Daphnia pulex: one gene and its partner. The protein of the gene in region 2 binds, or shares a complex with, the protein of the main gene of each other region. Links are inferred from orthologs where the notes say so. Each region holds a gene or a part of one and is shown on either strand. Other genes may lie near its edges.

Region 1 (6,830 bases), on a different chromosome or scaffold from region 2:
TGTCCCTTGAACATGCTTGTGTTTCCAATCACCATCTTTTTGGTCGTGAGTATTTTTTTTCTCTTTTACCTGTTCCTTATTCCTATTTTGGTTTTAATGAATTGTTTATTTCGATTTAGGTTATTAGCGATACTCACGCAGCTTCTCTAAATACTGGAAAAGCATTTCAAAGTTATGTTCAAACTAACAATATTCCGATACAAGTTAATGAAGCGATTACTGAAAGAGCAAAACCACGAACTGTTGCCGACGCCATGCTTATTACAACAGAACCGATTCAAAAACCTCTTAAAGACCCACGTCTGTTTGTTCTATGGTGGTCTACTTTAACACAATCTATTCTGCAATTGTTACGACAACGTACTTCGACCACTACTTCAAATCCCAACCAAACTTTCATCGCTACTACTCCTTTTTCAGTTTTCCAAACGGATGACCCCACTCATAACGTAAATGACGTTGCAGCTGGACTAGATACGATAATTGTTGATGCACCACCTGTATTTGATTCAATGCCATTGGAATAGTAAATGGGAATAACTTGGAACTGCATTTAATATACTGTTTAACCAATCGCAATCCAGAATCTGATTAGAATATTTTTCATATGCAAGCACTGCAGTCGTTCATTGCAATTAACTTTTAGGGACTTACAAAAATAGTGTAAATAAGTCATGGGTAAAGTGACTAATGCTGACTATAAATCAGTACCCTAGGCTGTCTCAAAAGGATGGCTTTTTAAAAAGAATACTGGAATTAAGAAAATTAGAAAAAGGGAAGCAGTAACTAGATAAGGTGTTTGCAAATAGAAGAATTTGCAATTCAAAATACAAGTTTCTCCTACTTGGCGTGGCCGTTGGATACGACGTCACTTTTCAGGTTGTATATGGAATCCAAGAAAACGCTTGCAATTTCCGTCACCATTGAACGGTCAGGAATACTTTGTGCCATGCCATAGATAACAGCCTAACCAAGCAATAAATACAGTTATTGAAAAATATCAAAGAAATATTGAAGAGAAACTAACCGCGCCCTCAGCTTCAGCTTTTGGGGTCTTCATAATCTCATCCACAGTAGCGCGCATATCTTCAACGAAGCGCTCGGCGACTCCATCACGAGTGTGAAGGTAAGTCACTGTCAAATGAATGCTGAAAGGACGTAAATATTATTTAGATAGTTCGCATAACTTGCTCAATGATTGAAACATTACCTAGAAGGAAATTGGAGAGGAGAAAGACTCCAGCCTTTTTTGGTCATGGCATCTGATACACGGTAAATGTTGAAGTCGATTGAGTCCACGGCAACACAGCATGCTTCGGGATGTCCCATGACGCGGATGCCTTTAATCTGGCGCAAACTAAATAAAGAAAAACATAAAAAATGTTGAAGAAGAAGAATATACAGGTTATCAAATATTGCTTGCCCTCTTTCAATAAAGCGATGAGTTTCCACAATCTTTTTAGTAGCTTCTACATAACCGCTTCGACCATAGTACATCATAGACGCCCAGCAGGCAGCAATTAAGCCTTAACAAAATCAAATGGGCAATTAATATAAATTTAAATAAGATAAGTCCACAAGTGTAAATTTACCTCCTGGTCGAGAACCGGCTAAAGTTGGTGATGCGTAAATACCACCAGGCCATTCAGTAGCAACAAAGAATTGTTGCTGGCGATATTTCGGATGGGAGTACAAAATAACGGAAGTTCCCTTGGGCGCATAGCCATACTGTAAGTGTATCGCATACAAAAATTATAGTGGAAAATCAAATTGAAAGCAAGCACTGTATATTACCTTGTGCGTATCGGCCGAAATACTGGTGACTCCTTTTACTCTGAAGTCAAACGGCGGCAAGCTGTAGCCAGCTTCTTCCATAAACGCGATTACGAACCCTCCCAAACAGGCATCAACGTGCACAGGGATGTCATATTTAAGACCGAGTTGGGCAATCTTTTCGACTGGGTCAATCACTCCATGAGGAAAACCAGGTGCTGATGCCAAAAGCTGAAAACGAAACATGTAAAACATCAAAGTGGTGACCTGACAAATCCCAATAATATTCCAAAATATACCAAGCAAGTATTTTTATTGATGGCTTTTTCCATCGCTTTAATGTCTGCCTTCTGGGTTTTTGGATCTATTGGTATTCGAACAAGGCGCATCCTGGTCGTAGCAAGATTGGTATCAATATGTTAAAACACTTTAAAATAAATAAAACCTGTAAAGTTGGGAAGCTTTATCAAAAGCCGCGTGGCCAGTTGCAGGAATTAGGATTTCAGGATTTCTTATGCCTTTTACGTTTCGCGCATAGTCTCGGTATGCTTTTACGGCCAGTAAGAGCGATTCGGAACCTCCAGAAGTCATCTATATTATAAACGCATTGGATAGCGAAAGGTTAGACAGTTACATAATAGTTGAATATCGACATTTTTTATCTCACAGTGCCGCAAGCATCTTTCCCCCCGTTAAACATATGGATAGCCATTTGGACGATTTCAGCTTCCATTTTTCGAATTCCAGGGAATACTTCTGGATGAAGCGGGTTAGTCCAGGCAGACATTCCATAAACTTGCGTAACAAGAGTAGTAACTTCTGGATCAACATTGTAAACACATCCTGAAAGTCCTCCAGCTTTCCAGTCACAGTCCCCTATGGTTAAAAAAACAAACAAACAGCTTAATCCAATCTATTTTCATGCATTAAGATAAAATTATTTACCTAGGTCTAGATATTCACTAGCTTCTTTAGTAATCTCTTCAACTGATTTTCCATTACTAGGCAATTGATAATAGACACTAAGGGATTTTGTGCATTTATTCATGTCTTCTTCCATCATATGTTTAGCCTTAAGTCTTTCCTCTGCTACCTTTTTTTTCACAAAAGGAATCATACGAATCCATGAGAAAATATATCTCTTTGTTCTTTCAGCCACAGCTTCAATAAAAGAAAAAAATAAATTATTATTGCATGAGGCTCTTAATTCTTACATAGACTTGTGAAATATTTACACAATTCTGGATCTGTCAGAAAGTTCTGTAGTCGAGCAATGGAATATGCTGCTCCAGCCGATATCAAAATTATTTTAAAAGAAAACTTCTCATTTAAACGGTAGTCTATATATATTTTTATAAATCTAGCAACTTCTAATATGCTCGGCTGTAATTAAGAAAAATAATTAGAATACTTTATCTTGAATTTCTTCATGGGTAAATTTAGTTTCAATAAATTGACACAATGTATGTATCTTACCATAGACATGGTTATGAAAAATAACCAAGTTTCCTTTGTGGCTTCAAATGAGGAGCTGACTGATTTCCAAATGAGGAATATTTCAACCTTGGATCAGCAGCTCAGTGCATATACCACATTTACCCTATCAGTCAGGTAGAGTTTAGATAAAGTAAACAAGATAAAAAAACAAAAAAACACCAGCAATATCACAACATGTCAAGATTGATACCTCTTCTACACCCTTGGACTGCAAACAAACATCCAGACAGCAGACACATAGGATTGTTGCATAAGAAAGTAAAAATTAATAATAAAATATTAAGATTAATGAATGTTTAGAAATGTACACTGTATATAACTAAATAAATAAAATTGAATTTTAGGTGTTTACAAATACAAATGTGACATTTAACTAATTAACTTAGATAATTTGTTTATACTTCGTAAATTCAGAAAGATACGTCTCAAATTTGGTTTTCTGCATAATCATTTTATTTTGCGGTTTGAGTCATCATCACTCGGGCATATTTCATATTTGAATAGCGGATCAGCTCAAATTTACAGTTCCTCACGGCCGATCGAAATCCGCTTTATGAAGTCCGCAATTCGTCTGCTTCTTCCGATATCCTTGTTTTATTTTGTAAAATCTGACAACCATTAAAGAAGAGAAAGTGGCAATGCTGTGTTTGTTTGGAACTCGGTCGAATTTTTAATTTCTTTTGTGAAATTCTTTATTTTCAAATCTAGAAATGAGAAAGGATAAAGAGAAATATGGTATGCAACTTTAATGTTTACATGTTTTGCTGAATGGCATTTGTACATCACACGAATTGTTTATTTTATAGATCATGGGCATGAAGTTAGCACTGCCCGTGGACGATTGGAAGGAGCTCTGCAAATTTTGATCGAAAAAACTGAATCTGAAGATAGCGATGAATCTGACGTAGATGTAACTGATTTAATCCATGAAGGCAGAAGGTATTTACTGAATAGTTACATTAAGAATTTAAAAAATTATGTTTTTATTTATCAATTTGGCTATGATTGTATAGTCAATCAGCATCTCCTAGGAAATCAGGAACAATTAAAACTCCATTGAGAAAGAGAAGACGCTTAAATGTGGATAAACATTACAAAAATGACCAAAATTCCTATGTGCTTAAGCTTTATGATCGTAGTGTTGATCTTGCAAAATTTTCTCCTCAAACTCCCCTATATCCTGTTTGCCGTGCTTGGATAAAAAATCAACCAAACAACCAACAATTTGGAGCTGCAAAGTAATTTGACATTTAATTTCCAGCCTTAAAGAAATATTATATAGTGTTTGATTTCAGTGCAAATTCCCCTAAGAAACTGGAGGATAAAGGAGCTGAGGTTAAAGAGGATTTAAAACTTGAAGAAAATGGTGAAGCTTTTGTAAATAGCTTGCCATTACCTGAAGCGATGCCTCTGGATGAAGAAGGAAACATTGTAGATACTAGGATTCCCTTTGATCTGAAGCCCAGTGGAAAATCTAAATCACTAGATTTGCTGCTAAATGTGTGTGTAAGTGAATTTGGAACTTCAGTGTAGAATTTTTACTAACTGTTGACTTCGGAAAAACTCATGTAAAACAGGAAGATGAGGCGGCTCCATCAGTATCATCGCTATTGCAGGAGGTGGGTAGAAACATTTGGTCAAATGAATGCAGTTTAACTAATTTTTTCTCTTTTTCATTTAACAGCATTGTTCTCATTGGGGTCGAGTACGAGAGCAATGGAGACGGGCGGCTAATGTCAATGAAGTCCGTTATGTTGAAAGTACCAAGATTCTTAAGAATATTTTAGTTCGCCCTTAAATTTGATGTGATCATCATATTTTTGTACTACTTGACAAAAATTCAACAACCATCAGCGTTTGTTTTGTGGGACGTGTGCTTCAATATTATCTTAAAACAAAAACATTAACTTGCTTTTTAACTATTCAGTTATAGTATATTATTGTCCAGTCATACCGTTTCCAATCCGATACAAAACAAAAAAAAAAAGAAACAATCAAACAACCTAACAATCGAACAAACAAAAAAGAAACAAATGAGATATTTGAGACAAACACGCACATGGTTCTCGTCAGTTAAATGTAATCAAGAGAAATCTCTTAACAGTTTGTCACACGCCAGGTCACAAATAGGTCGATTCCCCTGTAAGATAAATAAGTGCTCAATTGATCTTTCATTTCTTGGCCAAAAAATAAAAAAAGGTAGGTAAGTTTAAAGATTGGAGTTCAAAGAGATTTCATGTATAAGAAACTGTAATTGAATGGAAAAGGGTGCGAATCTAACAAGAAAATGCAGTGACGACAGAGTACCAATGGAACTAATCAATAACGAAGTGTGGGGAAAATGTCGAACTTCGGACGCCAATTTTTGCATGGTGTCTCTTATATAAAGGGAGATCCAGGTCACATGTTTATTTCAACAATGAAAAAAGATTAAACAAGAACTGGGAGGATTTGTTGCGTAACACGAGAAAATTAATGAGGGATCAGAGATAATGTGAAGAGGAGCATGATGATATTGCTCTATACCCTTAGCCGATCCGATTTTGTAAAGGAAAAAGAAACTATTAAAATAACTAGAACCATAGAAACAAAGATGATACGCAAGGGAACAATAAACGTGACCTATAACCCGCAACAGCCATCGCTCACGTCCAACTGCATAATTGCAACGAACCGAGTACAAACTTTAAAATGCAAAATTTAGTTTTTTTTTTACGCATATTTCGGAAGTGCTGTTTTCTCTAAAGAAGCCGACATCGGGTAGAATCGCAAAACGTCAGCAGTAACTGATTGATTCTGTCTGGAGAAGGGGACAAAAAAAAGGCGTAAAAGGCAGGAGAGTAATACAGAAGTGTGCCAACAAAGAGATAGAAGACGGAGAAAAAAGGGAACCAAATCAGCATGCTGCTATTCAGGTGGAAGGCCAACCTTTCAGCGTAAGGTCAACAGACGATGGACTCAGACGAACTATTTCTTGAGTACCCCCAGAGGTGCAAGCCGAAAAGGAGAGTAACCGATAGCGACCAACAGGATCCGAAGAGGTGCAAGTATCATCTACCCAAGAACATACATAGAAACGCTTCAGATAAGGAAGAAAAGAGGAAAAGATGTAGACAATTTGGGGGGGAAAGAATCGAGTGATGAAAAGAGAAGATAATAATTTAAAGAGGTACGAGAGTTGCTTGTTCATCACCGTGGATTCTAACAATCAATCCAGAGATTACGAACCTTGCTCGCCTTCTTCTTGCTCCTGGTTCGGTGGCTTCTGGAATTGGTTTCGCTCTGACCCTTCTACGTCTGAACTATCATTTTCGGAACTCCAAGTCTGGCTAGAGTCCGAATGGCGAGGTAATTGGTCATGTCCTCCAACCCCTTCAGTATTATTGATCTGAAATGAAAAGGTCATCACAATTTTAGTTTGTTTTGATATAAAATTATACTGTGATTATAAATAATGGTAGTTAACATATTGTTTTTAGATCGGATTTGAAATTAGAAGTAAAATTGTTACCTCTACGTTAGTCTTCGTTGTCGGATTAGCCCTCCAACAAATCGGACCA
Region 2 (7,740 bases):
ATCATCGAAGGAGTCTAGGAATATTTCTCCACTATCGCGTGCGAATGCAGAAACCTTAACACCTCCAAATGCAACAATGGCGTTATCCAGGCTACTGAGCTGAAATAGCTTTAGCTTTGCGACTGAGTGCAGTACCCACGGCTGAAAAGTTCTTGTCCCTGCGAAAATAAATAACTTTAAAACTGTCGGAAGCAAAATTTGTCTGATTAAAAATTTCACCTCAAATCAGCGTAAAGCTCTTCGGCCGAGTTTAGAACAACAGATTTAACAGAGCTACCATCAGAGCGAGGTGACTGGCCCGCATTTGATGAGGCTTGAAAATTTTCTCCTGGAAGCTTGACTGTATCTAAATAACAATGAAACCACAAAATGCAAGTAAAATAATTGTTTTACTCAGAAGCTAACAATACTTTCTTACTATGTTTTATTCCATGGAATTCGTCGATAAGACCCTCATAGGTCAACTGAGTGACAACAGGAGTTATCAAATCTACAGTCCTATCAATGATCATGAGAGTGTCGAACAACGGAGACATGGGGGGATCACAGTCTACCCCAATATCACGTCGCATTCGAGTCATCAATTCGAATACGTTACGGGCATGGCGCCCCTTACCCACAACGTTGGGGAAAATGCCATATAAACTTTGGAGGGACATTAACCCATGAGCAATTTGGTGTAAGGAGATGATTTCATTGTCAACATATAAATCCTGAGAATAAATTTGAAGAAATTGATGACAAGCAATCCCTTTCAAAGTTTGGCTCATAAATAAATACCTTGAAAACATTATCGAGTTCCATTGAAATGACATCACTATCTAGTGGGAAAAAATCAGCAGGCAGTTCATCAATAGAAGTAAGAGTTCCATACACTCCTTTGTCCTAAATGAAGTAATAATTTTGTCAACAATTTCTTCTTCGCTGATTTAAGTAACTTTAACCAACCTTGAGCCGCTGTTCACATACTGCACTTCGTCGGGAGACAAAAATTAACTGATATTCCTTACTAGCAGAATGTCCTTGGCTTTCTTCGCTGAAATGTAAATTAACTTATTGTTGACTATTTAAAGTTAAAACATGTAGATTATTCATACCTGTGCAAGTTATCGGCAATACAATCCATCAGCTCAACTTCAGGTCTTGTGATGAACAGCATATTTTTAACAGATATGGAAGGCAAGCGCCCAGGTTTTAACTGAAACATTTTTACAACATCTAGTTCCTTAAGAAAACTGTATTCTGCCACCAAACCAATGGGGCCAGTGAGTTGTTCATCCCAAAATATTGCCTAGCATAATTGATGAATTTACGTACATTTCTTAAATGGAATAGCACACACCAAAATACCTTTGTTCCACTGAACTTCTCTAAAAGAGAAACAATATCCTGTAACAATAACAAAACTGTTGACGAAATTTATTTTTACTGAACAAGACATCAACAGACTGTCAACAGACAACCTAATGGATTTTGTGGTTGTCCTAAGTCACAAAAAGCTAATGACTAAATCCGCATAAAATAAAATAAAATTTAGTATTACCAATGCTCATCTTCTCCTGTCCTTAACTTTCTTTCTGAAACAGACACGTGCACATCCAAATTTAGGTGAGGACGATACATATTCATGTCTAACTTCTAATCATTAGCCTAACAGTCAAAATAAAATTTATCGTGAGGCATTACAATTATGGTAAATTATTTCAGTGCTTACCATACATGATGACTACTCATCATATGGTATTTATATCAGTGAGTGACTCACAGAAATGGTTTAGTGCACTATGAAAATCAAGAAACCCATTTTATGGTCATTTTCCTGGGCGTCACAACAAAATCAATGAGTGACTCACAGAAATGGTTTAATACACTACCATGAAAATCAAGCAAACCCATTTTATGGTCATTTTCCTGGGCGTCACAACAAAATTAGTTAGGCAAACAAAATACGTAAGAAAACTCAAAATAATAAATGATATTGCGTTGATTTACCCTTCATGAAGCATTTAGCTATGCGAAACAATTACAATGACAATGATGAATAAGGTAATCCATAGTATAGTCTTTTGCCTAAGAATTGAAACAGGAATGTTGAAATTATGCGTTACTTTAATAATTACAAATTGCAAGCTAACCATGTCAACATGATGACGACGTTCGGTAACTGACTAACTGATAAATCAGACAACAAAAACAAAACAAACAGACAATCGAATTGATGTTGTGGTTGTCCTAAGTCACAAAAAGCTAATGACTAAATCCGCATAAAATTAAATTAAATTTAGTATTACCAAATGAATCGAAACTTACCTATCCGCTGAGATAAATTACTGTAAGTTTACACAAACAGTTTGAAGAAAATCGATGCAGTAGTTTAGATTTCTATAAATTTATTCTGATTCTGAATTAAAGGTTCTGGAAGCCTGGCCCAGAACAGCGTACACTCCCCCCACATCCCTCCCCCTCCTACACACCCAGACACCCGCATTTACTTTAATGCCTTCTGGTAGTACAAGTACTACCCTCAGGGATAAAAATTTGCTGTGATTCGAGAGTGTTAATAGCTATGAGGTATCCAATAACAAATGCAAGCTACAATTTAAAATAGTAATAAAATATTAGAAAAAGGATTTAGATTATTATAATTTAGAAGTAAAAAAATCACTAAATCAGCAAGAAAAATGTAATATTTTATTAATTTTTTTTTTTGGTTTACAATTCGTCAATGCGGCAACGTCCCAAGCTTGACGATTCGAGCGATTCTGAAAGTTGAAAAAACTGCTTGAAAATGGCGGATTTACTTGAAAGTAAGTTATCTTAACTGCAAAACGTAAACAAACAATTAAGCTTTGACGGTTAATTATGTTTTTTCTTTAAACTCAGTTTGAAAATCTTTTGTAGTTTTAATAATTTATTATAAATTTCTGTCTGATACGATTTGGGTTAAGCTCTAGAACGGCTCCTTACTTGTTTATATTGTTACCTCATATTTGCTTAAGTTTGTAATTTCTCATTCAACCAATTGTTATGAAAATTGAGCATTAATAGATTTTCCAAATCAATTGAAGTACATTGTGTTAAGAGTTTTACTTAACTTTAATATTTATATTTGAAATTCTGTATAGCTGAATCTGCAGAAGCTTTACTTTCATTCAAAAATGGAGGATTCAAAGTGAAAAGAGAGCTTGATTTTGGAGATGACTCAGAACAGGCGAATCAAGCAATGACTTTAGGCCCAGAAATGTTTGGATTAAAACGGATCAGTGATGTAAATTCATCCTCTAGTTCAAAAATAACTGGGAGTACCACTTCAAATCCAATCACATTGAACAGAAGAGGCATTGTAAGTGAGACTATTTGGACTTTATTTGATTATATGATGTAATAAATTGTGGAAACTAATTTTTATTTTAGCCAGCAAGAATTCGAAAAAAGAATCCATTGTTCTTTGATGATGATACTATTGTCAACCAATCTACTAATAAATCTCCAAGGAAATCCACAAAATCCAACAGTGGTGTTAGTGGATCATCTCATTCAAACCAGTTAGCACCTCAAGTTACCACTTCAAAAATAATAAAGAGAGGTTAAATAAATTATTTTAAAAAATGTAATCATGATTAACAGTAAATTGTGTTACAGGCCACACAAGATCTGCACCTGGCAGTGCAACTGGTACTCCGGAACGTCGCAGTGGATCAAATGCTTCGACGCCGCTCAAAACTACTAATCGAGTTAAGGCAAAGCTAAAGAAAATGAAGGTTAAGCCAGCTTTTAAGGTAAAATTTTTATATATTAAATATTGCCAATAATTGTATACTATATCATTTGTATTAGTTGCCGGAAAAGCAGAAGAGTGAACCTTTAGTTGTTGGACGTCGTGCTCGGAGTATTGTGGCCGCGGCCGCTTTACCTTCGGTTGCAGCAACAACGGCTGAGCAAGAAGCCGAAGACTTGAAAAAACTTGGTGTCCGCTTACGCAATTTACTTAAGTTACCCAAAGCGCACAAATGGGTCTGCTATGAATGGTTCTACAGTAATCTAGACCAGTACGTTTTTGTGCCATTTATTTTATACCTTGCATGGGGAAAAAGAAATGGTTGTAGTTGTGTGTTTCGTCGATTTCCTTATAATTTGTGAAGCACTCCATTTTGCTGTAACCGTTTTTTTTTTTTAATTATTATTATTTATTTATTTATTTTAGAGCATTGTTTGAAGGCGACAATGACTTTATGCTATGTTTACGAGAGTCATTCCCCAGCTTGAAATTGCGACAGCTTACTAGATCCCAGTGGTGTACCATCCGTCGTCTTATGGGAAGACCAAGACGTTGTTCTCAGGTGCCTAAATTTTTATTCATGCAAATGGCTTGTCCAGTTTCTAACATTTTCTTATCCAATTTTTCCCCCTCTTGATTCATTTTAGGCATTTTTTAATGAAGAAAGAGGAGAATTGGCCAAAAAAAGACAGAAGATTCGTTTAGTTCAACAGCGCAAAGTAAGCGATATGGCATCTCTTTGTAGGGATTTGCCGGATCTTATCCCTATGCCTTTGGTTATCGGCACCAAAGTGACGGCCAGACTTCGGCAACCACAGGTACACTTAAGCACAATACTTCAGCTATTTACTTAAATTGTTATCGATTTTTCGTCAGTCGACGGCAATCTTGTGTGATCATACCAAGATGCCGTTGGTCTAATGAAATGCCGAAGTATTTTCGATTCCCTTAGTATATATGAGATGATTGCCGTAGTTATTCTAAGTGTTTTAAGATAACAGCGCAAGAGTTTGAAGTGGGTATACATAGCTCAATAAAAGAATATGTGGAGTGTGACGTTAAAACTATGACCTAGTGACTATAATTATTTATGATTTAAAAAGAAGGAAAAATAAATACGTAGTAATTATTTATTTTTTTCTTCCCATTAAAGGATGGATTGTTCGTTGGCCAAATCGATGCCGTAGATACGTCCAATAATACATACCGCATCACATTTGATAGACAAGGATTGGGAACACACTCTGTTCCGGATTACGAAGTTTTGGTACGTGTAATGTTCGTCTTGACAACGAAAGACATCTTCAACTAAAAACAAATTTCCTTGTTAGTCGAATGAAACAGTAGACATGATTTCGATATCGAGTTTGGCTCAACGGTTTCGCCCTCGCCCAGCTGTTTTACCACCGACCCCCGCAATAATACCACTGATGGCTTCACAGCAGCAAACACTAACAATCTCGAGTCAACATCAACAGCCCATTAAACAGTCTTCCCTTGAAGTTGCAATGCCTACTTTATCTTTAACTTCACATGTCAGTGGCACACGAATTGGACACACTTCTCATTCTGATTCTTCAAGTTTAGTCAGCGATCCTGTCTTGGGATCGTCTAATTCAAGATTGACACCACAAGAAACGACGTTTGGCTCCTTGCCCATCCACGTTCTGACACCAATCGTAAGTCCTTTGAAAATCTGCGTATTATTGGAAATTTGTAACATATATTTGTTCTATAGGTACGACTCTCGAAGATTTTAAATATGAAAAAAGATAAGGTTAGAAGACTGAGAGATATGAATACAGAAGTTGAACGCCGAGAGTCAGTCGGCGAAACTGTTGCACCCGATTTTCAACGACGCTATGCTCGTACCATCCTTGATTTGGAAGAATTGAATACGGAACTCAACAGCCTCCTAGTTAAGGTCAGACAACAATGCCATGAGGTATTTTGTTACTTTTCGATCTGAAATAGTCACATTAATAACTCTTTGGAATTTTTATCGTTTAGATTGCTCCGGATTCAGAGCATGGTCTATCCCCATTAGCTGGGCCAGATAGTATTCGCCAACTGTGTTATCAAGAAGCTAGAGATTTGGTTGAAACTCAGTTGGATACTCGAAGTGGTTCACATCCAAATGTTACCTCTGCCCCGATTATTGCACTTGTCACTGGTCTCACATCTTTAATGCTCCAAATCAAGGTATTTGTAATGTATTTATTCGCTCGTGGTTATTGTTACTGCGAGTTTTTATTTGCTAGATTTTTTACCGATATTTTTAGTTGATGATTTATAGTTAACTATATTGTAGTAAATTAAAATCGATAATCAGATTGTCGTTTATGTAAACTGCAACTCTTTACTTATTTCAATACTTTTTTTTTTTCAGTGCCTTGCGGAAAGTGAACGCAACGCTTACGAGCTTCAAGCTTTACACGACTCCTTAGATGAACTGCGGAAGTCCTTAGACAAATCGAATCTAACTTCTCTTAGGAACCATGTTTTAGTTCACGTGCAGCATATCCAATCTGGATTGTGTAACTTTGACCACATGACGCCGTTCAACGGTACCGAAACTAATGCACCTGCGGTCACCTCCACCACTAGGAACCTACCGTTACCCAATGATAACGATAACCATTAACTATTGTTGAAACAGAAATAAATTAACTCATGGCGTAGAAAAAATTTTGTTAGACATGTCTCTGAAACCTCTCGTTTAACAGTAAAAAAAATCTTCAATCAATTCAAATGTAAATAATGCGAATCAGATTGTCTAGTAAAATACCGAATGATTTTCAAATGTTCAGTGAAAGACATTTTTAAATTACAAAAGATACACACATAATAAAAATATTCATTTAACAAAATTTTTGATTCCCTTTATCATTAAACTCTTTAATGAATATAATACAGAAAAACGCATTGGGTTAAAACACAAATATAAATATAGCAAATATCTTTTTTTTTAGGAACCAGAAACGCCCTTTAAAAAAATCAAAGTTGGAGGAGAATTCATGCAATTTTAAGGGGTGTTCGACCGAACCGAGCTCGTTTGAGTTTATTCTTTAGTAGATTACTCCTTTATTTGCACTTTGATTGATGTAATTATGAAGGCATCTCCTAGGAATGCGAGGTTGCAGTAGGAATATGTAATAAGACATTAAATACAAGCAGGACAAGATGTTTTGTAACTATATTAGGATAGAATCCAATGAAAAATACTGAAATAATGAAAATTAGTCTAATACTATTATGGTGCGACCTTAGGTGTACCGGTGGGGGCTTCAGCCGCCACCCCACGTCGCACTTCGCTCTTAGCTTAAATTTTAGCATTTCCTCAATGAGTTTGAGAGATTAAAAAATGATGTCTCTTTGGTGTGGCTGCATCCCCCCCCCCCCCAGCAGCGTCTTAAATCAAGCACAAAGCTCATTGCCATAAAACATTTAATTTACATCGCTGTGATGAACTCTGCGTAATGATGCAGAAAACATGAAAACATGAGATGTATTGTAAACATCCAATACAAAATAATGAAATGCAAATAAGACGCTCATCTGACTATGTCTGGAGGGCATTATGGGACAATGGAAATGTTTAATTTTACTTCCCCCAGCATCGTGTCAATTTTTTTTACAGACAAAATTCGATAAACAATTTTAAAAGGAATTGCTGGTTGGTTTAGATCAAATAATAGTTATCAACCTAGTTTTTTCAAATCATTTTCGGCATCGTCGAGAGCAACGCGGATTTTACAGTCCATCGCTGACATTGACGGCAATTCGCAATTCCCACACGTTTTGGTTTGGCGGCTGGTCAAAAGGGCGCTCGAAATGAGGATAGGACAGGCCATCCTAAACTCCATCTGCTGTAAGGCGATGGTGATCTCATGAACTGCGACAAATTGTTCTAGGTGTCGCATTAATCGAAATACCCTTAAAGCATGGATAAGTTTTTAGTT

The links.
Region 1: the proteins of protein lin-9 homolog (region 2) and protein lin-37 homolog are in contact, whole or in part, in a crystal structure (PDB 7N40), measured with the Homo sapiens proteins. The link is inferred for Daphnia pulex from reciprocal best matches to the Homo sapiens genes LIN9 and LIN37. Residues at the interface, in NP_001353174.1 of Homo sapiens: Lys99, Ala101, Ser102, Gln103, Lys104, Ile105, Gly106, Arg108, Leu109, Arg110, Leu112, Leu113, Lys114, His119, Trp121, Cys122, Ile123, Glu125, Trp126, Phe127, Thr227, Leu237, Phe238, Leu272, Ser273, Asn274; in NP_061977.1 of Homo sapiens: Tyr95, Ile97, Leu99, Phe100, Asp101, Arg102, Val104, Leu106, Ala107, Phe109, Ser110, Glu111, Asn112, Thr113, Pro114, Leu115, Tyr116, Ile118, Cys119, Arg120, Trp122, Met123, Asn125.

What each region holds. Positions count from the first base shown.
Region 1 is NC_060021.1:10,748,689-10,755,518, forward strand, and holds protein lin-37 homolog, read left to right. Parts: upstream 1-3,871; 5' UTR 3,872-3,980; coding exon 3,981-4,005; intron 4,006-4,076; coding exon 4,077-4,209; intron 4,210-4,283; coding exon 4,284-4,508; intron 4,509-4,565; coding exon 4,566-4,776; intron 4,777-4,847; coding exon 4,848-4,889; intron 4,890-4,954; coding exon 4,955-5,068; 3' UTR 5,069-5,177; downstream 5,178-6,830. Other genes in the region: sphingosine-1-phosphate lyase-like, read right to left, coding at 841-966, 1,028-1,148, 1,211-1,357, 1,424-1,526, 1,593-1,728, 1,795-2,004, 2,073-2,163, 2,219-2,364 and 4 more; phosphatidylinositol 3,4,5-trisphosphate 3-phosphatase and dual-specificity protein phosphatase PTEN-like, read right to left, coding at 6,182-6,324, 6,499-6,658, 6,782-6,830.
Region 2 is NC_060023.1:5,469,292-5,477,031, forward strand, and holds protein lin-9 homolog, read left to right. Parts: upstream 1-2,737; 5' UTR 2,738-2,788; coding exon 2,789-2,807; intron 2,808-3,125; coding exon 3,126-3,343; intron 3,344-3,414; coding exon 3,415-3,586; intron 3,587-3,642; coding exon 3,643-3,779; intron 3,780-3,837; coding exon 3,838-4,049; intron 4,050-4,204; coding exon 4,205-4,340; intron 4,341-4,425; coding exon 4,426-4,596; intron 4,597-4,931; coding exon 4,932-5,045; intron 5,046-5,109; coding exon 5,110-5,457; intron 5,458-5,516; coding exon 5,517-5,723; intron 5,724-5,788; coding exon 5,789-5,980; intron 5,981-6,167; coding exon 6,168-6,422; 3' UTR 6,423-6,466; downstream 6,467-7,740. Other genes in the region: vacuolar protein sorting-associated protein 33A-like, read right to left, coding at 92-158, 220-346, 419-713, 781-885, 949-1,036, 1,098-1,207. UniProt on the Homo sapiens protein: Acts as a tumor suppressor. Inhibits DNA synthesis. Its ability to inhibit oncogenic transformation is mediated through its association with RB1. Plays a role in the expression of genes required for the G1/S transition.